3 linked regions of the Struthio camelus genome follow. The protein of the gene in region 1 purifies or fractionates together with the protein of each later gene. This does not show direct contact. Links are inferred from orthologs where the notes say so. Each region holds a gene or a part of one and is shown in the gene's direction. Other genes may lie near its edges.

Region 1 (6,974 bases):
TTGTCTAGATCATCCAAAAAGTGAGGTATTCTAAAACGTCTTGCCACGTTGCTCTGTTCTGTTGACACTTTGATTTTTTTCAGTGAGGTACATTTCATATAATACCTGCTTCCTTTTCTAATGGATCTAAAACGGAGCCACATACCCCCTTTGGGGCAGAAAGTGTCTTCATAGATGCAGGTTTAAACCAAGTCAGTGCTCTGTAATACATTAACACTTCAAAAAACTCATACTGAGAGGTACCTACCCGTTATGTTACATAATTTTAATTTTAAAAATGAGTATCGGGTGACTTGGAGAATTGCATGCCTAGTGGTTGTCCAGAGGACTATCTTTTTATATTTTCATGAGGCTTTAGGTTTTTTTTACCTCAGATCCTACCTGTGTTTTGAGAAGGCTGAATTAAGACAGAAACACTTGCCTAAACCTGTAGCGATTACTATCCATATTGTCAGCTGTAGGACTAGAAAGCAAATGAAAACTTCTTAAATATTTAAGAAAAGTGTGTAGTATATATAAACTCAAGTCTTTATGACTTTAAGGCTTTTTGTAAGTTTAAGTCTTTCATGTATTCTTGAAAATATCCTGCAGTTCTTAGGTTAAAGTCTATGGTCTGTCATGTAGAACTTGCTTCATTGTTAGGAAGACTCTAAGCGGGCAAATATGAAACGAAGTATTTTCCTAGTAACTGCTGTATATCTAATTTTTTAGCGATGTAGTGACATTATTGATACTGCTGTTCAACAGAGTTTTCTTACTGTAACAGGCTTAGTAATATGAAGAAGGGAAAAATAGGAAACTGCTTCGTGAAGGTTGTTACGAAAGGGTTGCTTGAAGTCTGAAGAGCAAGGATCAAGCCAAAGAGAACTGCATAGGTAGACATTGATTAATGTTTTTCATGGATAATATTACTGCAGGTAAACAGATACCATCTTCTGCTGTTTGTTGGCAGTTTTTAGCATGTACAAATCAAAGTCCTAAATAACACTCTCAAGGTGAAAATTTCAAAACTTTATACTCCCAAAGTATGTAATATAGAGAGACGGTATAAGAGACTTCACAGATGAAAAAGACAGTCCTCTCTCTGGTAACACTTGAGTGTATTTTAAAGGCTTCTTTTCCAAGGTGAACTGGAATCAAAAAGCAAAACAAAAGAGTTTATATATAAGTTGAGTAGAAATGTGCTCTCCAACTGTGGTTAATCAGGAACAAATTAAGAAATACGTAAGGGGAACGAAGCAAATAGAGATCCAGGATGTTACATAAACAGAATACTGAATATTGGTAATTATCTAGCATGATCTGGTCTGCCTAGCTGGAAGGGGCTGTATATTGTGTATGAAGTCCTATCTCTGTTGTTTTTTTTTTTTTAATATTATCAGTTTCTTCCATAAAATAAGAAATTAAAGATGGTGTAAATGAGGAATGATCCTCATACAGTTTTAACACCTATTTCGTCAATTGCTGCATGTTAGTGAAGGTATAGAAGTTACATACAGAAAATACCAAACAAGGCAAACAGATAGGAACGGTAGGACTGCAGATGCAAACAAAAAGCTTTGAAATTTAGTTAGTATTACAAGCTTTTTTACTTATTTTGCATTTTGCTACTTTACATTTCTCTGAAGAGTATTACCGTATTCAAAACCAATTTTGTTACAATCGGTTTGCAGATGTTAGCAGAAGTTAGGCCTTTACTGAAGATCAAGTAAGAACATACTTAAATCTGAAACAATTACTTAAGAGCACTTCAAGAGGAGGCTGCCTACTTTCACGTTTGTAAGAATGGAATTGCTTGATGATTTTTATACATGACAACAGTGAACAAGTACCTTCTGGGATAGCATTAGTTGTTTTAAGCTGCATGTGAGGACATCCGTACACGTGCCTGCCATGCATTTTCAAAAGTATGCAGCCTTTCAGGGCTACTAAGATGATGAAGGGACTGGAGCACCTCTCCTATGAGGAAAGGCTAAGGAAGCTGGGACTCTTCATCCTGGAGAAGAGAAGACTGAGGGGGGATCTGATCAATGTGTATAAGTATCTGAAGGGAAAACAGCAAGAGGATGGGGCCAGACTCTTCTCCGTGGTGCCCAGCGATAGGACAAGAGGCAACGGGCACAAACTGAAACCCAGGAAGTTTCATTTGAACATGAGGAAAAACTTTACTGTGAGGGTGGCTGAGCACTGACTGGCACAGGTTGCCCAGAGAGGCGGTGGAGTCTCCATCCTTGGAGATATTCAAGAGCTGTCTGGGACAGGGTCCTGGGCAAAGTGCTCTAGGTGACTTTGCCTGAGTGGGGGGGGGTTGACTAGATGATCTCCAGAGGTCCCTTCCATCTGCAACCATTCTGTGATTCTGTGATTTTTCTATACCACTTTTGGAAAAAAAAAAGTTGGGAATAAATAGGTTACTCTTTTTTTCTGACAGGCTTTTGCCACTAGAGGGATACGTTTCCTCAGGTTCTAATGGCCATAGTATTCCTCTAGTTTTAAATCCCGTAACAGAGGGAAAGACTGTGCCTTTCTTAGTTTGTGACCCTACATTACCTGTTCACACTGAAATTTCCACTTTTTTTTTTTAAAAAAGGAAGTAAGCCCAACCTCTTTGGCAAATCCTGGTCATCTTGTGGTTTCAGACTGCTAAAACCTAATTAATTACTTTCATTATATTGAGCAATAGTACATAGAATATTTGAAGTAAACACTCATTTGCTGTTTCCTAACACTGCCAAACATTAGGAAGACTCTAATTGATTTAGGATTTCTTATGTTATGATTCGTTGATGTAAATTCTATTCTTGTGGAAGTCTAAAGCCATTCCATTGAGCTCATATTCTGCTTGCGGTATTTCACAGGCTTCCCACCACTTGATTTTGCTTGAAAAATTGCTGAGACGAGGCTATACTGGTTAGCTTACGCTCGCAGCCCATTTCTTTATTGCTGGATACGAACCTGTGGTTTTTCAGCTCTGTTGTTAATTCAGAACCACCTTTTGAACCTTTAGTTTTTGAGGTTAAAAGTGCTCCTAGCAAAGGTCACACGTACACAGATTGCTGTGAAGTGTTACAAACTTTTATTTTCAATTGCCTGCTTGCAGGTGGTCCATGAGCCCTTGGATTTAATGTCAGCTACAGCCGGAAGGCCACTCATCTAAATTATCTGGCTTTAATTTTAAATGGACCAGTCTTTTCTTTAATCCTGCTGCTGCTAATCCTGTCAGGCGTACGCAGTTAGATATCGTTTGAAAAACCTCGTGATTTCGAGTAGGGTACTTTCAGTTACTTCCCTCTTCCTCTACTGCTATCGGTATTCTGTCACAGTGAGAAGAGCACCCCTGCAGAAGTGGGAGAAGGTCACCGTAGACTTAAGACACTGTGCCTCAGCACCGGACATCCGCGTTCAGCCGCGGGCACTGCCGCAGGCTCCCACCGTCGCCTCACGCAGAGCAGTTTAACTCCCCTGGGCATCGCTTCCACCTTACCAGCTGTTTCGCTTCGCCGAGATAACTCATACACCGTTCAGGCAGGGGCGCTGCCTTGTTCCGCTGAAATACAACACCCTCCGTAGCGGGGTGGTGACAAATCCGCTCGTACGCGCAGAGAAAAACCTGTACCCAATCTACGCCGTATCACGGCTAATTGGGGGGGGGGAGGGGGAGGGGCGCGGCGGCCCCTCAGCGCCGGGCGCCCCGTAACGGTCGCCGGCGGCGCGCGGGGCGGGGCCGGGCCGCCCCGGAGCCGGGGTGGCGGCGGCGGGCCCTGCCGCCCCCGCGGGCGGCCTCGGAGGCCGGAGGTGCCTGAGAGGCAGGGGCGGAGGCGGCGGGGGGCCGCCCGCCCTGCCCCTCCTTCCCGCCCTCGCCGGGACCCCGAGGTGCCGCCGCAGCTGGTGCCGCTCCTGCTGCCATTGGATTAAAAATAGCATCTTCCCTCCCCCTTCCCCTCCCCCAGGCCCGGCTCCCGCCGCCGCTGCCGCCGCCGCCACCGCTACCGCCGCGCCCTGCCCTGCCCCGGGCCCGGCTGCCCTCCGCCTCCATTGCCCGCTCGCCGTCGGCCGGCCGGAGGCAGCGAGCGACCGAGCGAGCGAACATGCAGCGGGCCGCGCTCTTCGGCGGCGGCGGCGGCGATGCGCAGATGGCCGCCGGGGACCTGGGCGAGCTGCTGGTCCCCTACATGCCCACGATCCGGGTGCCCAAGTCAGGGGACCGGGTCTACAAGACGGAGTGCGCCTTCTCCTACGACTCGCCTGTGAGTGCAGCGAAGCCGCCGCCGGCTGCCTCCGCTTCCCCCCCCCTCACCCCGCCGGCTGCCGACCTACCCCTCTCCCAGCGCCCTGCGGCAGCTCTGCCGCCGCCCCGCTGCCTCTTCCCCCGCTCCCGGCTGCTCCCCAGCCCCGGGGCAGCTTCCCCCAGGCCTCAGCCTCCCTGCCCTCCCCCTACCCCCCCGCGGCTTCTTCCTTAGCCAGGTTTCCCTCGCCACCCCCGGGCTGCAGCCCCTTCCCTTCCCGGGGGTCCCGGCCGCGCCGCCGGCTCCCCTCGCCCCCTCAGCCTGCGGGTGCCCCGGCTGGCAGCCGCCGGCATGGCGGGATGTGTCCGCGCTCTGTCGCAGCTGAGGACTCCTCTGACAAGCACGTCGCCGCCAGCTTGTATGCAGCGCTAGTATTGGCTTCTGTGGGGTTTCTGTTGTTGTTTTCTAGGGAACTTTTCTATCGCCTGGGAAATCGTTTCTGGTTCTCCAGGGTGGGCATGCTCTCCCTGTGTAACCCTTGTTTTCAGGTTGGTACTGAGATAGTAAAAAGCAGAAGGAGCTGACGTTCTCGTTCGCATGTTTTTGGCTAGGAAAAAGCCAATGGTTTTGCTTGCCTACCGTATCACTGCTTATCCTCCTGTTGATGATCTTTTAAGGAAGTCTTCAAAGAAGTTCAACCTGAAAATCAGTGTGAAAGTCTTCCTGAAATACTTTCCCTCCTGGCGTTTTGGTTAGGTCACTAGACTTCAAAGAACGCGTATTTCCTCACTAGCTTATTTAGTTTGTTGTTAAATGAATGTTTGATGCGTAGTAACTTTCTATGATGTTATAGTTGTCTTGCAAAGCATCCGCAAGCTCCACAAATGCATGTATTGTGTTGCAGATTTGGGGCCCTACTCGTTTTTTAACTTTGCTGAAAACATTGGAAACCTTAATAAATAGTGAGTGGATACTGTGTAGGAAACACGTGTTTAGAAATTGCACTTTTTAAATGGAGCTGAAATTTTTTTAAAGATTGCTTCTCTACATTAGGCTGAGGTTTCTCAAAGGTGACTGAGCGCTCTGTATTGCTGTAAAGTTAAAGTTAATGACAGCAATCTGAAGGAAGCTCAGTGTTTACATGACAGGATAGTCAATTAAAGATATGTTTGAGATGGACTTTTGAGCATGTTATTCCTCTCTCTTTAATATTTTCCTCTAATGCAAAAAAATCAAAATTGGTTTCAAAGGTGACTCAGCTGTCTGGTGTTCATCATGTCTTGTTGAACAGAGGTTATTTTTACCCGCACTCTTCAGATCTCAAGTGTCACCTAGCAGCCCTGGCTGTACCGGCAGGCAGTCTGATTAAAATTGCCAAATCAGACTCTACTGCAGAGGCGCTAATTACATTATATACTAAGTAAGGGTTGGGGGGGGAATCAATATACCACAATTCTTTCTTGAAATTTTTGCTTGGGTGAACACTAGAAATAATACTTTCAGGTGGCTTGGACCTTATGGTCTATAAAAAGTTTCCTTTAACCAGTAGGAAGAGATATCAAATTCTGTTACAGATTAAAAAGCATTAATCAACACCCCTCCCTGCAACAGATGTCAAATAAACACAGCGAAACTTTTTTTTTTTTTTTAAGCAAAACAATATATTGGAGCAAAACATAAAGTATTTGAGGAAAGCTCAAATAAGCTTAACAAAAGCTACATATAAGCATAGGAAAAGGAGCTGGAATCACCAAGTGCGATTTTCAAAACTGTTTCATCCCATTCACTTTTTTGGCAAGAGAGTCAGGTTTTGAAAACGTTGGCCTTGGCCATTAGAGACTTTTTGTTGAAAGGTATTCATTAGGCAAAAGGCTCTGACTGAATTCATGCAATACCAGTAAAAATTATATTATGCTCTATTTCCATTGTCTAGTTTTCCACGGCTTTTCAGCCTGTACTGGTCCTTGACTTGGTTGGGTAAAAGACTTGTCTCCAGAAAATGTATTCGTTATTCCCATGTAACCTAACAGATATTTGGATATTGTTTCTAGGATAGCTGGTTCTAAAAGACAAATGTGTGCTTTTGGGGGTAAAACACCATCATTTACAAATTTGAAAACAGCAAAACTTTATTTTTACAGTCTTCCGCCCAGAAGAGAAGGTGAAAGAAGGATACAGACAGATTGTCCCCTTGGTTAAAAAAAGGGATTTATCTCAGTGTGCTTTGTATTAGGTTGTCTTAGTGACTTATTTTCTGAGGTCAACTACGTATAGCCTAAGTGAGTGAATTCCTATTGAGGTGTCTGCCTCTTTTTGAAAGATGCGCAGTTTTTTTTTTCCTCCCCTATAATATTAAAGTAAATGATAAATGTTAAAAGCATGTCCTCTGGGGTTTATTGTCTATAGTAAAATTCCAGATAACTTAGTCGACTAGGAAGGTGTTTTCCATTGTAAGCTTATTTCTCAGTACGTCCTCGCATCTCCTCATTTTGCCATTTCGAGTATGTTCTTTGTTCAGCTCTTCTCTGTTTCGAGTCAGCTCGAGGCAAGATGTTTTGTTTTGTCACTCTTCTTCAATACCAGATTTTATTTCAGTAGTTTATTCCATTAACACCGTAAAACTCTCTCTCAAGCTTTACCTTTGATTCTTTTCCTATTCAGGCAAGTAAATTTCCTGAGTATTTTGGAACTTAATACTTTGGTCAACTAATTTTTGTATGCACTTTTCTTAAGTGATATGCCCAGTCA
Region 2 (6,840 bases), on another chromosome or scaffold:
GCGTCCGGGACCCCCAAGTGACCCCCCGCCCGCCCCCCGCAGGTGGTGATCTTCGTGAAGTCGGTGCAGCGCTGCATCGCCCTGGCGCAGCTGCTGGTGGAGCAGAACTTCCCGGCCATCGCCATCCACCGCGGCATGCCCCAGGAGGAGCGGTGCGCCGGGGGGCCGGGGGGGCCGGGGGGGGCCCGGGGGGGGGCCCGGCCTCCCTGACACCCCCCGCCCCGTCCCCCCCAGGCTCTCGCGGTACCAGCAGTTCAAGGACTTCCAGCGCCGCATCCTGGTGGCCACCAACCTCTTCGGGCGGGGGATGGACATCGAGCGGGTCAACATCGCCTTCAACTACGACATGCCCGAGGACTCGGACACCTACCTGCACCGGGTGGGTGCCGGGGCCGGGCGGGGGCCGGGCGGGGGGCCGGGCCGGGCGGGGGGCTGACGGCGGCGCCGCCTCCCGTCGCGCAGGTGGCCCGGGCCGGGCGCTTCGGCACCAAGGGCTTGGCCATCACCTTCGTGTCGGACGAGAACGACGCCAAGATCCTCAACGACGTGCAGGACCGCTTCGAGGTGAACATCAGCGAGCTGCCCGACGAGATCGACATCTCCTCCTACAGTGAGCGGGGGGCCGGGCGGGGGGCCGGGCGGGGGGCCGGGCCGGGGCCGCCCTCACCCCGCTCTCCCCCCCCTCCAGTCGAGCAGACCCGATAAGCTGCCCGGCGCCCGCCGCCCTCCCGCCCGGTTCGCGTCTCCTCGTTCCTCCCCTCTTCCGACCGTCCGGCTGCCGAGGGAGCCCCCGAAACCGCCGACGCCTGCCCGGAGGGGGGCCCCCGAAACCGCCGCCCTGGCCGGGAGGGGGCCCCCGAAACCGCCGCCGCCCGGACGCAAGAGGAAGCGGGGAGGCCCCGCCCCGCCAGCCGCCCCCCCCCACGGCTGCCGCCGCCTCCCCGCGGCGCCTCCCCCGCCCGGACCCGGGGGGTTTTATAGAAAAAAGGCCTGAAAAGACAAAAAAAAAGAGAAAAAGCCCGAGCTCGGCGGGGGGCGGGGGCTCCGGAGGGCCCCTCCCCCCCGGGCTCCCCTCAGCTGTACAATTTCTGGTTTTTTTGGTAATAAAGTCGCCCGGCCTCGCCGGGTCCCTGGACGCCGCTGTCTGCCTCGGGGGCGGGGCCGCGGGAGGGGCGGGGCCGGCGGGGCGGGGCTTAGCAGGGCGGGGGTTGCGGTGGGGGCGGGGTCGCGGGAGGGGGCGGGGCTGAGGGAGGCGGGGTCCGCGCAGGCGGGCGGGGAGCGAAGCCGCGGCGGCCATCTTGCGCGCGGGCAGCGCCGCCATCTTTGAGGCGGGCGGGCCGAGGGGGCGGGGCCTCGGCGCCGCCGCTATAAAGGGCCCCGCGGGGGCGGCGCGCGGCCTCTTCCCGCCGGACGCCGGGGAGCCGCGGGCAGGTGGGGGGCGCCCGGACGCCTGGGCCCCGCTGTTGGGGGTGGGGGGGAGCCGGGACGCCTGGGCCCCGTTGTGGTGGGGGGGGGGGAGCCGGGACGCCTGGGCCCCGTGGAGGGGGGGCGCCCGGACGCCTGGGCCCCGTTGTTGGGGGGGGGGGGAGCCGGGACGCCTTGGCCCCGTTGTTGGGGGGGGGGGGGAGCCGGGACGCCTGGGCCCCGTTGTGGTGGGGGGGGGGGAGCCGGGACGCCTGGGCCCCGTTGTTGGGGGTGGGGGGGGGGAGCCGGGACGCCTGGGCCCCGTTGTTGTGGTGGGGGGGAGCCGGGACGCCTGGGCCCCGTTGTTTGGGGGGAGGGCGGGACGCCTGGGCCCCGTTGTTGGGGGGGGGGGGAGCCGGGACGCCTGGGCCCCGTTGTTTGGGGGGGGCGGGGAGCCGGGACGCCTGGGCCCCGTTGTTGTGGGGGGGGGGGGAGCCGGGACGCCTGGGCCCCGTTGTGGTGGGGGGGGGGAGCCAGGACGCCTGGGCCCCGTTGTTGGGGGGGGGAGCCGGGACGCCTGGGCCCCTGCCCCTTGGGGCGTCGCCATGATGATCCCCTAGACTAGAGTCTCCGACCCCCCTGACGACCCCCCCAGCCTGAGCGACGCCCCCTCCGTCCCTCCCCCTCCCCGGACGCCTCAGTCCCTCCCCCCCCCCCCGTTCACCCCTCTCTCTCTCCCTCCCGCAGGTCGGAGCCCCCGGACGCCTGGGCCCCCCCGGCTGCGCCATGGGGTGAGGATTCCCCCCCCCCCCCGATCCCCGCGGGTCCGGGGCGTCGCTGTGATGATCCCCCCAGACTAGAGTCTCTGACCCCCCCTGACGACCCCCCCAGCCTGAGCGACGCCCCCTCCCTCCCGCCCCCCCGCCGGACGCCTGGGTCCCTCCCGTTCGCTAACACCCCCCTTCCCCCCCCCCCCGTGTGTCTCGCAGGAGCCCGAGGCCCGTCGGCACCGGCATGACGCGGTGAGTGACCCCCCCCCAACCGGGCCCCCCCCGGGGCCCCCCGGCGATGAGGAACCCGCACCGAGGCCGATCCCGCCGTGACGACCCCTCGCAGCGCCCTGAGCCGAGGCGGCCCCGGGACCCCCCCGTTAACCCCCATTACTCCCCCCTGTTACCCCCCTGGTGACCCCCCCCGGGACCCCCCTGTTCCCCCCCGGGATGCCCCCATTACCCCTTCCAGGACCCCCTTGTTCCCCCCCCCCGAGACCCCCTGTTACCTCCCTTGGGAACCTCCCCATCCCCCCCCCCGGGACCCCCCCGTTAACCCCCATTACCCCCCCCCGGGACCCCCCTGTTCCCCCCCCGGGATGCCCCCATTACCCCTTCCAGGACCCCCTTGTTCCCCCCCCCCAAGACCCCCTGTTACCTCCCTTGGGAACCTCCCCATCCCCCCCCCGTTACCCCCCCGGGACCCCCTTGTTCCCCCCCCCCTTGACGCTTCTCTTTCCCCCCCCCCCAGCCGCGGCCCGGAGCCTGCGAGGGACAAACGGCGCCCGTGTCGCAGGGGGGAGGGGAGCAGCTGGAATTGGGGCAAATAAAGCTGATTCTGGGTCTGGATGCGGCCTGGTGGTGTCTCTTTTCGGACGGGGGGGCGGGGGATGCTCTGTTTACATAGCAACAGGGGGGGTCGCGCGGAGGTGGTGGGGGGGGGTTCCCGCCTTTTTTGTCCCCCTTCCCGACCGGTGGGGGTGGCCATGTCGGGTGTGGGCAGCGCCGCTACCGGCCGCCATCTTGGGTGAGGGCACCCCCGCCCCCCGGCCTGTTTATTGTCGGGGCTCCTCAAACCGGGGGGCAGCGCCCCTTCCCCCGCCCCGGGACCCCTCCTTTGTTTTTATTTAAATAAACACGGATTTGGGTGAGAGCTGGCCCCGTCAGTCGGGGGGGTTGTGCTCCTGTAACACAACGGGGGCCTCGGCTGCTCTGCCCCCTCCCCCCCGGGCACAACATGGGCCCTGCCGCGGGGTGGGGGGGGCACCAGCGCCATCTTTACGCTCGGGCCTACCGCAACACACGGGGGAGGGGGCGGGAAACGGGCCCGGCCCGCAGCCAAGATGGCGGCGCCCTCAGCCAAGATGGCCGCTCTGCCCAGGGCGCAATCGCCAAGATGGCGGCCGCCGCGGCTTCACTCCCTCACCCGCAGCGCGCATGCGCGAAGCAGCGAGGCCCCCCCCACCCCCGTCCCGGCTGGGGTGGCGGCGGCGGACGCCTGCTGAGCGGCGCAGGCGCGGCGCGGGCAGCCCGGCGCGGCGGCGGGGTCCTGCGCGGCGGCGCGCATGCGCGGCAGAGCGCGGCCGGGCGGCGCGGCCGGAGGCGCACGGAGGAGCCGCTCCGCACCGAGCGCGGCCCCGCGGCCCCGGCCCGGCCCCGGCGGCGGCTCCGCGCCCGCCCCAGGGCGCGCCCAGCCCCCCCGGAAGCCGACCCGCTCCCCCCCCCGCCTGCCCCGGAAGCGGATCGCGCACCGAGCCGGAAGCGACTGCCCGCGGAGGCAAGGCGCCGCCGACCGGCGGGGGGTGAGGGGCGGCGGGCGGGGGTCAGGAGCGCCGGCCTGCCGGTTTGCGGTGGGAGTCGGGGCCGCGGGGGTCAGGGGTCGGGGTGGGGTGTAGGCCGCGGGGTCAGAGGTCGAGGGTCAGCGTGGGGGTGGCGGGGTCAGGGTCGGGGTGGGGTCAGAGGCTGGGGGTCGCGGGGTCGGGGGTCAGGGCAAGCGTTGACCTCTGGGGTCGGGGGGTCAGAGGTCAGAGTGAGGGCTGACCCCCAAGGGTCAGGGGTCAGGGTGAGGGGTGACCCCGGGGGTCAGGGGCCGGGGGTCGGGGGCCAGGGCGAGGGCTGACCCCGGGGGTCAGGGGCCGGGGGTCGGGGGTGAGGGCGAGGGGTGACCCCGGGGGCCAGGGGCTGGGGATCAGGGGCCAGGGCGAGGGCTGACCCCGGGGGTCAGGGGTCGGGGGTCGGGGGCCAGGGCGAGGGCTGACCCCGGGGGTCAGGGGCTGGGGGTCGGGGGCTAGGGCGAGGGCTGACCCCGGGGGTCAGGGGCCGGGGGTCGGGGGTGAGGGCGAGGGCTGACCCCGGGGGTCAGGGGTCGGGGGCCAGGGCGAGGGCTGACCCCGGGGGTCAGGGGCCGGGGGTCGGGGGCCAGGGCGAGGGCTGACCCCGGGGGCCAGGGGCTGGGGATCAGGGGCCAGGGCGAGGGGTGACGCCGGGGGTCAGGGGCTGGGGGTCGGGGGTGAGGGCGAGGGGTGACCCCGGGGGCCAGGGGCTGGGGATCAGGGGCCAGGGCGAGGGGTGACGCCGGGGGTCAGGGGCCGGGGGTCGGGGGTGAGGGCGAGGGGTGACCCCGGGGGTCAGGGGTCGGGGGCCAGGGCGAGGGCTGACCCCGGGGGTCAGGGGCTGGGGATCAGGGGCCAGGGCGAGGGGTGACCCCGGGGGTCAGGGGCTGGGGGTCGGGGGTGAGGGCGAGGGGTGACCCCGGGGGTCAGGGGCTGGGGGTCGGGGGCCAGGGCGAGGGGTGACGCCGGGGGTCAGGGGCTGGGGGTCGGGGGTGAGGGCGAGGGGTGACCCCGGGGGTCAGGGGTCGGGGGCCAGGGCGAGGGCTGACCCCGGGGGTCGGGGGCCGGGGGTCGGGGGCCAGGGCGAGGGCTGACCCCGGGGGTCAGGGGTGAGGGCGAGGTGTGACCCCGGGGGTCAGGGGTGAGGGCGAGGGGTGACGCCGGGGGTCGGGGGTGAGGGCGAGGGGTGACGCCGGGGGTCAGGGGCTGGGGGTCAGGGGTGAGGGCGAGGGGTGACCCCGGGGGTCAGGGGTGAGGGCGAGGGGTGACGCCGGGGGTCGGGGGTGAGGGCGAGGGCTGACCCTGGGGGTCAGGGGCCGGGGGTCGGGGGCCAGGGCGAGGGCTGACCCCGGGGGTCAGGGGCTGGGGGTCAGGGGTGAGGGCGAGGGGTGACCCCGGGGGTCGGGGGTGAGGGCGAGGGCTGACCCCGGGGGTCGGGGGCTGGGGGTCGGGGGCCAGGGCGAGGGCTGACCCCGGGGGCCGGGGTCAGGGGTCAGCGCTGCGGCGGCGCCATGGCGGAGGAGCGGCTGGAGGTGCTGGTGAAGACGTTGGACTCGCAGACCCGGAGCTTCCACGTGGAGCCGGAGGTGAGGCCGAGCCGGGGGGTCCCCGCATCCCCGCCCCCCCCCCCGGCCCCCCCGTGACCCCCCGCCGCCGCCGCCCTCCCCCAGATCACGGTGCGGGCGTTCAAGGAGCACATCGCCGCCGCCGTCTCCATCCCCGCCGAGAAGCAGCGGCTCATTTACCAGGGCCGGGTGCTGCAGGACGACAAGAAGCTGCAGGAATACAGTGAGGGGGCGGCGGGGGGGGGCCGGGCAGCACCTGGGGGGCGGGTTGAGTTTGGGGACCCCTTGGGCAGGGGTTGGGGCATTTGAGGGGGTTTGGGGGTATTTGGGGAGCCCTGGGGTGAATTGGGGGGTTTAGGGGCCCCTTGGGCAGGGGTTGGGGCATTTGAGGGGGTTTGGGGGTATTTGGGGAGCCCTGGGGAGAGTTGGGGGGGTTTAGGGGCCCCTTGGGCAGGAGCTGGGGCATTTGAGAGGATTTGGGGGTTTTTGGGGAGCCCTGGGGCAAATTGGGGGGTTTAGGGGCCCCTTGGGCAGGAGCTGGGGCATTTGAGGGGGTTTGGGGGCATTTGGGGAGCGCTGGGGGGAGCTAGGGGGGTTTAGGGGCTCCTGGGGCAGCATTGGGGTCATTTGAGGGCAGTTTTGGGGGGGTTTGCAGAGCTGCGGGGTTAGTTAGGGACTTCAGGAGCTTCTTGGGTGGTAGTTGGGGCATTTTATCGTGGTTTTGGGGGTCTTGGGGGAGTTCTGGAGTTTTCTTACAAGAGCTTAGAAGTTTTTGGGGGTAATTGGGGTAGTTTGTGGGAGTTTGGTGGCTCTTAGGAGCGATTTGAGGTTATTTAGAAGAGTTTAGGAGCCATCTAAGCAGCAGTTTGGGGGTGGATGGTCGTTTATGGGGGGTTGGGGGACCCTTGGGCAGCATTGAGGGAGTTTGAGGGCAGTTTTGGGGGGTTTGGGGAGCCTTAGAGTTAGTGGGGGGGTTGGGGGCTCTTCAGGCAGCATTTGGGGGGGGTGGGGAGCTGCGGGGCAGGGGTTTGGCTGACCCTCTCCCCCCCCGTCCTTTCTTCCCCCAGATGTGGGGGGCAAAGTGATCCACCTGGTGGAGCGGGCGCCCCCCCAGGCCCAGTCGCCCTCGGGGGGGGGCCCCTCGGGGCTGGGCTCCTCCTCGGCCCCCCACAACGGGGGGGGCCCCCGGGGGCCGGGCGGCCCCGGCCACGACCGCAACGCCAACAGCTACGTCATGGTGGGGACCTTCAACCTGCCGGTGAGCCGGGG
Region 3 (7,735 bases), on another chromosome or scaffold:
AAGAGACACCAAGACCCACCTCAGGCACGTGGGGACACCAGGGACCTCCAGGAGGTCCCCAGGGGACGATGGGACCCACCTTGGGGACATGGGGACACCAGAGATGTCTATGAGGTCCCCAAGGGACACCAGGACCTGCCTTGGGGATATGGGGACACCAGGGATGTCCAGAACATCCCCAAGAGACACCAGGACCTGCCTTGGGGACATGGGGACACCAGGGACCTCCAGGAGGTCCCCAAGAGACACCAGGACCCACCTTGGGGACATGGGGACACCAGGGACCTCCAGGAGGTCCCCAAGAGACACCAGGATCCACCTTGGGGACATGGGGACACCAGGGACCTCCAGGAGGTCCCCAAGAGACACCAGGATCCACCTTGGGGACACAGGGACACAAAGGATGTCCATGACGTCCCCAGGGGACAATGGGACCCACCTTGTGGACATGGGGACACCAGGGATGTCCATGAGGTCCCCAAGGGACACCAGGACCTGCCTTGGGGACATGGGGACACCAGGGACCTCCAGGAGGTCCCCAGGGGACAACGGGACCTGCCATGGGGACATGGGGACACCAGGGACCTCCAGGAGGTCCCCAGGGGACACCAGGGCTCTAGGGATGCCCAGGACTTCTACTGGGGACCCAGGGACACGAAGGACGCCCGGGACATTCCCCAGGGACACCAGGACCCCCCTTGGGGACATGGGGACACCAGGGATCCCCAGGACCCGTGGGGACCCCGGGGACCCCGGGGGCCGCTGGCCGCCGCCTGGCGCAGGGTGACCCGGGGTCCCCAGGCTGCCCAGAGCCTCCTGTCCCCAGGTCCTGGTGCCACCGCGTCCCCACTGTCCCCAGGTCTCCAGCCCCCTCCGTCCCCCCCTGTTCCCCCCGTGTCCCTGGGTCCCCTTCCTCTGCCACCTCGTGCCACCCCCCTGTCCCCAGGTGCTGGTGCCACCCCTGGGTCCCCCCATGTGTCCCCCACGTCCTTGTTGTCCCCAGGTCTCCCTGCCACCTCCAGGTCTCCTCCTGTGTCCACCATATCTCTGTTGTCCCCAGGTCCTTCTGCCACCCCTGGGTCGCCCACGTCCCCAGGTCCTGGTGCCACCCTTGGGTCCCTCCCTGTGCCCCCCGTGTCCCCCATGTCCTCAGGTCCTGGTGCCACCTCCAGGTCGCTCCCTGTGCCCCCCATGCCCCCCATGTCCTCAGGTCCTTCTGCCACCCCTGGGTCCCCCATGTCCCTAGGTCCTTCTGCCACCTCCATGTCCCCAGGTGCTGGTGCCACCCCTGTGCCCCCCATGTCCCCCATGTCCCCAACTCCTGGTGCCACCCCCACGTCCCCCACGTCCCCAAGTGCTGGTGCCACCCCCATGTCCCCCATGTCCCCCACGTCCCCAGGTCCTTCTGCCACCCCCGGGTCCCCCACGTCCCCAGGTCCTTCTGCCATCCCCACGTCCCCAGGTGCTGGTGCCACCCCCACGTCCCCCACGTCCCCCACGTCCCCAGGTGCTGGTGCCACCCGAGGGCCTCCCGCCCGGCCGGTTCCCCCCGGGCACCCGGAGCAGCAGGCGCGCCGGGGCGGCGGGTGCCCGGCGGCGGCCTGGGCGGTGGCCTCGGCGGTGGCCTCGGCGTGGCGGGAGCTGCGGGGGCGCTGGGGGCCGCTGGCCACGGCCTGGGGGCTGGCGCTGCTCTTCGGGCTGCCCCAGGTGGCCATCTTCGGGCAGCGGGAGGTGGCGGCGGGCGAGCGGGACTGCTGGGCCGTCTTCGTCCGGCCCTGGGGCGCCCGGGCCTACGTCACCTGGGTGGCGCTGGCCGTGCTGGTGGCCCCGGCCGCCCTGCTGGCCGGGCTGCTGGCGGCGGTGGCCCGGGCGGTGGGCCGGCGGCGGGCGGTCGCCGGGCTGGGCCGGGCCCGGGCCAAGAGCCACCGCATGGCGCTGGTGGTGCTGGCCGTCTACGTGGGCTGCTGGGCCCCTTTCTTCTGCGCCCAGCTGTGGGCCGTCTGGGACCCCCGGGCCCCCGTCGAGGGTGAGCGCCCGGGGACGGGGACGGGGGGGACCTGGGGGGACCTGGGGGACCTGGGGAACATGGGGGAGATGGGGGATGTGGAGGGACATGATGGAGATGGAGGCACATGGAGGGTCATGGAGGACATGGGGGGGACATGAGGGGACATGGGGGGACATGGAGGGACATGGGGGACATGGGGGGAACATGAGGGGACATGGGGGGACATGGAGGGTCACGGGGGGACACGGGGGACATGGGGGGACATGGAGGGACATGGAGGGACACGGAGGGACACGGAGGGACATGGGGGACATGGGGGGACATGGAGGGACATGGAGGGACATGGGGGACATGGGGGGGACATGAGGGGACATGGGGGGACATGGGGGGACATGGAGGGTCACGGGGGGACACGGGGGACACGGGGGGACATGGAGGGACATGGGGGACATGGTGGGACACGGTGGGACATGGGGAGACATGGGGGACATGGGGGGACACGGGGGACATGGGGGACATGGGGAGACATGGGGGACATGGAGGGACATGGAGGGACATGGGGGGACATGGGACATGGGGGGACATGGGGGACATGGAGGGACATGGAGGGACACGGAGGGACACAGAGGGACACGGAGGGACATGGGGGGACACGGAGGGACATGGGGGGACATGGGGGACATGGGGGACATGGAGGGACACGGAGGGACACGGAGGGACACGGAGGACATGGGGGACATGGAGGGACATGGAGGGACACGGAGGGACATGAGGGGACACGGAGAACATGTTTGGCCGCGGGTGGCCGCGGTGGCCGCAGCGGTGGCCGCGGCGGCGCTGACGGCGGCGGTGGCCCGCAGGCCCGGCCTTCACCATCCTCATGCTGCTGGCCAGCCTCAACAGCTGCACCAACCCCTGGATCTACGCCGCCTTCAGCACCAGCCTGTCGCGCGCCATGGCCCGCCTGCTGTGCCCCTGCCGCCGCCCCCGCTGACCCCCCGGCCACCACCGCGGCCACCGCGGCCACCACGGCCACCATCACGGCCACCATGGCCACCACCGCAGCCCCCGCCCCGGCCACCATGGCCACCATCGCAGCCACCACGACAGCCACCATGGTCACCACGGCCACCGTGGCCACCACCACGGCCACCACAGCCACCACCATGGCCATCACCATGGTCACCACGGTCACCACGGCCACCACCGCAGCCACCGCCACGGCCACCATGGCCTCCACGACAGCCACCATGGCCACCACAACCACCACCACGGCCACCACGGCCACCACCATGGCCACCATGGCCACCATTGCAGCCACCACGACCACCACCACAGCCACCACAGCCACCACGGCCACCACCATGGCCACCACGGCCACCACCACGGCCACCACGACCACCACCGCAGTCACCATGGCCACCACAGCCACCACCACAGCCACCATGGCCACCACCGCAGCCACCACGGCCACCACCACAGCCACCACGACCACCACCACGGCCACCATGGCCACCACCATGGCCACCACGACCACCACCGCAGCCACCACGACCACCACCGCAGTCACCATGGCCACCACGGCCACCACCGCAGCCACCACGACCACCACAGCCACCACCATGGCCACCACGGCCACCACCACAGCCACCACGACCACCACCACGGCCACCACGGCCACCACCACAGCCACCACAACCACCACAGCCACCACCATGGCCACCATGGCCACCATTGCAGCCACCACGACCACCACCGCAGCCACCACGACCACCACGGCCACCACCATGGCCACCATGGCCACCATTGCAGCCACCACGACCACCACCGCAGCCACCACGACCACCACCACGGCCACCACAGCCACCACGGCCACCACCATGGCCACCACGGCCACCACCACGGCCACCACGACCACCACCGCAGCCACCACGACCACCACCACAGCCACCACGACCACCACCGCAGCCACCACGACCACCACAGCCACCACCATGGCCACCATGGCCACCACCATGGCCACCACGACCACCACCGCAGCCACCATGACCACCACAGCCACCACCATGGCCACCACGGCCACCACCGCAGCCACCACGACCACCACCGCAGTCACCATGGCCACCACAGCCACCACCACAGCCACCATGGCCACCACCGCAGCCACCACGACCACCACCACGGCCACCACGACCACCACAGCCACCACCATGGCCACCACGACCACCACCGCAGCCACCACGACCACCACCACGGCCACCATGGCCACCGCGGCCACCGGGGCCGCTCGCACGAGGGGGCGGGGCTTGCACGGGCCCGCATCGCACCAATAAACATGGCTCAACCCGTAGGCCTCTGCCCCTCGACCTTTGCCCTTTGCCCCCCTGACCTTTGCCCTTTGCCCCCTCCCCCGACGTTCCCCCTCGGCCCGGCGCCCTCCCGTTGCCATGGAGACGCGCTCCCCCCTCCCCTCTCCCAACCCGGGCCCCGCCCCATGCAAATGAGCACCCCCCGCGCGGCCAATCCGCCTGCGCCGGGGGCGGGGCTCCGTATGCAAACCGCGCCGCCGCTCTCCCCCCCCCCCCGCCTCCACCCGACGGCTGACGCGGCGCGAGGGGCGGGGCGGCGGGGGGAGAGCGGCGGCGGCGGGAGCCTATCAGCGCCCGCGCGGCGCGGCGGCGGCGGCCAATGGCGTAGCGGGTGCGAGGTGGTGGGAGGGGGAGGGGGGGAGGAGCGGGTGTTCTCGCGAGAGCGCGGCGCGGGGCGGTGCCGGCCTTGGCGCGCGCGCGCGCGGCTGCCGCGGTCCCCGTGTCCCCCCCCGGCTGCCGTAGCCGCCCCGTTTCCCGCCCTCCGGGCTCCCGTAGCGGCCCGGTTCCCCGCCGGCTCCCGCCGCCGCCATCATGGGCTTCCTCAAGCTCATCGAGATCGAGAACTTCAAGTCCTACAAGGGGCGGCAGATCATCGGGCCCTTCCGCCGCTTCACCGCCATCATCGGCCCCAACGGCTCCGGTGAGACCCCCGCCCTCCGCTATCCCGTGGTGCTTTGCGCCCGCTCCCAGGACGCTCCGCGTGCCCCGGCGGTGGCCCGGCTGCCCCCGCTATCCCACAATGCACCTGCAGCCTCGCCCTCTCGCCTCGGCCTTCCCAGGATGCACCGCGGGGCCCTTCGAGTGTCCCAGGATGCTCTGTGGGCCTGTTTGGGCATCCCAGGATGCACCGCGGGGTGCTGCGGGCATCCCATGATGCCCTGTGGGCCCCTTCGGCCTTCCCAGGATGCACTGCGGGGCCTTTCAGGTGTCCCATGATGCCTTGCGGGGCCCTTCGGCCTTCCCAGGATGCACCGCAGGGTGCTGCGGGCATCCCATGATGCCCTGTGGGCCCCTTCGGCCTTCCCAGGATGCACCGGGGAGCCTTTCAGGTGTCCCATGATGCTTTGTGGGGCCCTTCGGCCTTCCCAGGATGCACTGCGGGGCCTTTCAGGCGTCCCATGATGCCTTGCGGGGCCCTTCGGCCTTCCCAGGATGCACCGGGGAGCCTTTCAGGTGTCCCATGATGCCTTGCGGGGCCCTTTGGTCCTCCCAGGATGCACTGTGGGGCCTTTCAGGTGTCCCATGATGCCTTGCGGGGCCCTTTGGTCCTCCCAGGATGCACTGTGGGGCCTTTCAGGCATCCCATGATGCCTTGTGGGCCCCTTCGGCCTTCCCACGATGCACCGGGGAGCCTTTCAGGTGTCCCATGATGCCTTGCGGGGCCCTTCGGCCTTCCCAGGATGCACCGCGCTCTCGCTCGTCCCGCGGCGCAGGGGCCCGGCTGCCCCCTGCTCTCCCACAATGCCGTGCGCCGCCTCCCCCCCACCCCCCCCCTCACTTCCCGCAGGCAAGTCGAACCTGATGGACGCCATCAGCTTCGTGCTGGGCGAGAAGACGAGCAACCTGCGGGTGAAGACGCTGCGGGACCTGATCCACGGGGCGCCCGTGGGCAAGCCGGCCGCCAGCCGGGCCTTCGTCAGCATGGTGTACTCGGAGGAGGGCGCCGAGGACCGCACCTTCGCCCGCGTCATCGTGGGTGCGTGGGGGGCGCCGGGTGGGGGGGACGGACGGACGGACGGACGGACGCCGGGCCGCCCTCACCGCCGCCCGCCGCCGCCGCAGGCAGCTCCTCCGAGTACAAGATCAACAACCGGGTGGTGCAGCTGAGCGAGTACAGCGAGGAGCTGGAGAAGCTCGGCATCCTCATCAAGGCCAGGAACTTCCTCGTCTTCCAGGTGGGGGGTGGGGGGGGCAGGGGGTCCCGGCCGGGCTGGGGCGGGGGGGTCCCGGCGCTGACGCCCCGCCGCAGGGCGCCGTGGAGTCCATCGCCATGAAGAACCCCAAGGAGCGCACGGCGCTCTTCGAGGAGATCAGCCGCTCGGGGGAGCTGGCGCAGGAGTACGACAAGCGCAAGAAGGAGATGGTGAAGGCGGAGGAGGACACGCAGTTCAACTACCACCGCAAGAAGAACATCGCCGCCGAGCGCAAGGAGGCCAAGCAGGAGAAGGAGGAGGTGGGGCGGCGGCGGCGGGGTGGGGGGCGGCGGGGCGCGTCGCGCCGGCGGGGTCCCCACGGCCGTTTCTCGCCCCCGCCAGGCGGACCGGTACCAGCGGCTGAAGGACGAGGTGGTGCGGGCCCAGGTGCAGCTGCAGCTCTTCAAGCTCTACCACAACGAGGCCGAGATCGAGAAGCTCAACAAGGAGCTGGGCCTGAAGAACCGGGAGATCGACAAGGACAAGAAGCGCATGGACCGGGTGGAGGACGAGCTCAAGGACCGCAAGAAGGAGCTGGGCAAGATGATGCGGGAGCAGCAGCAGATCGAGAAGGAGATCAAGTAGGTGGCGGGGCCGGGAGGCGCCGGGGGCGAGCCCGGCCCCGGGGCCGCCCTCAGCCCGCCCTCGCCCCAAGGGAGAAGGACTCGGAGCTGAACCAGAAGCGGCCGCAGTACATCAAGGCCAAGGAGAACACGTCGCACAAGATCAAGAAGCTGGAGGCGGCCAAGAAGTCGCTGCAGAACGCGCAGAAGCAGTACAAGAAGCGCAAGGGCGACATGGACGAGCTGGAGAAGGAGATGCTCTCGGTGGAGAAGGCCCGGCAGGAGTTCGAGGAGCGCATGGAGGAGGAGAGCCAGAGCCAGGGCCGCGACCTCACGCTGGAGGAGAACCAGGTGGGGCCGGGGCCGGGGCCGGGCGGCTCGGGGCGCCGCCGGGGCCGCCGCTGAGCCGCCGCGCCGCCCCCCAGGTGAAGAAGTACCACCGGCTGAAGGAGGAGGCCAGCAAGCGGGCCGCCACGCTGGCCCAGGAGCTCGAGAAGTTCAACCGCGACCAGAAGGCCGACCAGGACCGGCTGGACCTGGAGGAGAGGAAGAAAGTGGAGACGGAGGTGAGTGGGGCTCCCCGGCCCCGCCGCGGGCGCTCCCGCCCCCCGCGGCCGCCCCTCACCCCCCTCCGCCCCAGGCCAAGATCAAGCAGAAGCTGCGGGAGATCGAGGAGAACCAGAAGCGCATCGAGAAGCTGGAGGAGTACATCGCCACCAGCAAGTGAGCGGTCGTCCCCGAGGCGTCTGCCTCCCCGCGTCCCCATCTCGGCGTCCCTGGGGTGGTCCCTGCGGTGTCCCCCGTCCCCCTGTCCCCGTCTGTGTGTCCTTGGAGCGGTCCCTGAGCTGTTCTTTGCCCTCCCGTCCCCATCTGTGTGCTCCT

Evidence for each region. Proteins that work in one complex are often made in the same cells at the same time.
Region 2: the proteins of USP13 (region 1) and BAG6 purify together in Homo sapiens (affinity purification with western blotting; 3 studies listed by BioGRID and IntAct, with this or other methods). This does not show direct contact. The link is inferred for Struthio camelus from reciprocal best matches to the Homo sapiens genes USP13 and BAG6.
Region 3: the proteins of USP13 (region 1) and SMC1A purify together in Homo sapiens (affinity purification with mass spectrometry; 5 studies listed by BioGRID and IntAct, with this or other methods). This does not show direct contact. The link is inferred for Struthio camelus from reciprocal best matches to the Homo sapiens genes USP13 and SMC1A.

The regions. Positions count from the first base shown.
Region 1 is NC_090950.1:24,654,029-24,661,002, reverse strand, and holds the start of USP13 (ubiquitin carboxyl-terminal hydrolase 13), read left to right. Parts: upstream 1-3,968; 5' UTR 3,969-4,088; coding exon 4,089-4,247; intron 4,248-6,974. UniProt on the Homo sapiens protein: Deubiquitinase that mediates deubiquitination of target proteins such as BECN1, MITF, SKP2 and USP10 and is involved in various processes such as autophagy, endoplasmic reticulum-associated degradation (ERAD), cell cycle progression or DNA damage response.
Region 2 is NC_090977.1:58,850-65,689, reverse strand, and holds the start of BAG6 (large proline-rich protein BAG6), read left to right. Parts: upstream 1-3,826; 5' UTR 3,827-3,951; intron 3,952-5,495; 5' UTR 5,496-5,517; coding exon 5,518-5,592; intron 5,593-5,676; coding exon 5,677-5,794; intron 5,795-6,638; coding exon 6,639-6,829; intron 6,830-6,840. Other genes in the region: spliceosome RNA helicase DDX39B, read left to right, coding at 43-152, 235-379, 463-610, 689-705. UniProt on the Homo sapiens protein: ATP-independent molecular chaperone preventing the aggregation of misfolded and hydrophobic patches-containing proteins.
Region 3 is NC_090979.1:409,526-417,260, forward strand, and holds the start of SMC1A (structural maintenance of chromosomes protein 1A), read left to right. Parts: upstream 1-4,721; 5' UTR 4,722-4,908; coding exon 4,909-5,017; intron 5,018-5,884; coding exon 5,885-6,073; intron 6,074-6,159; coding exon 6,160-6,272; intron 6,273-6,346; coding exon 6,347-6,550; intron 6,551-6,632; coding exon 6,633-6,871; intron 6,872-6,945; coding exon 6,946-7,204; intron 7,205-7,278; coding exon 7,279-7,419; intron 7,420-7,493; coding exon 7,494-7,576; intron 7,577-7,735. UniProt on the Homo sapiens protein: Involved in chromosome cohesion during cell cycle and in DNA repair. Central component of cohesin complex. The cohesin complex is required for the cohesion of sister chromatids after DNA replication.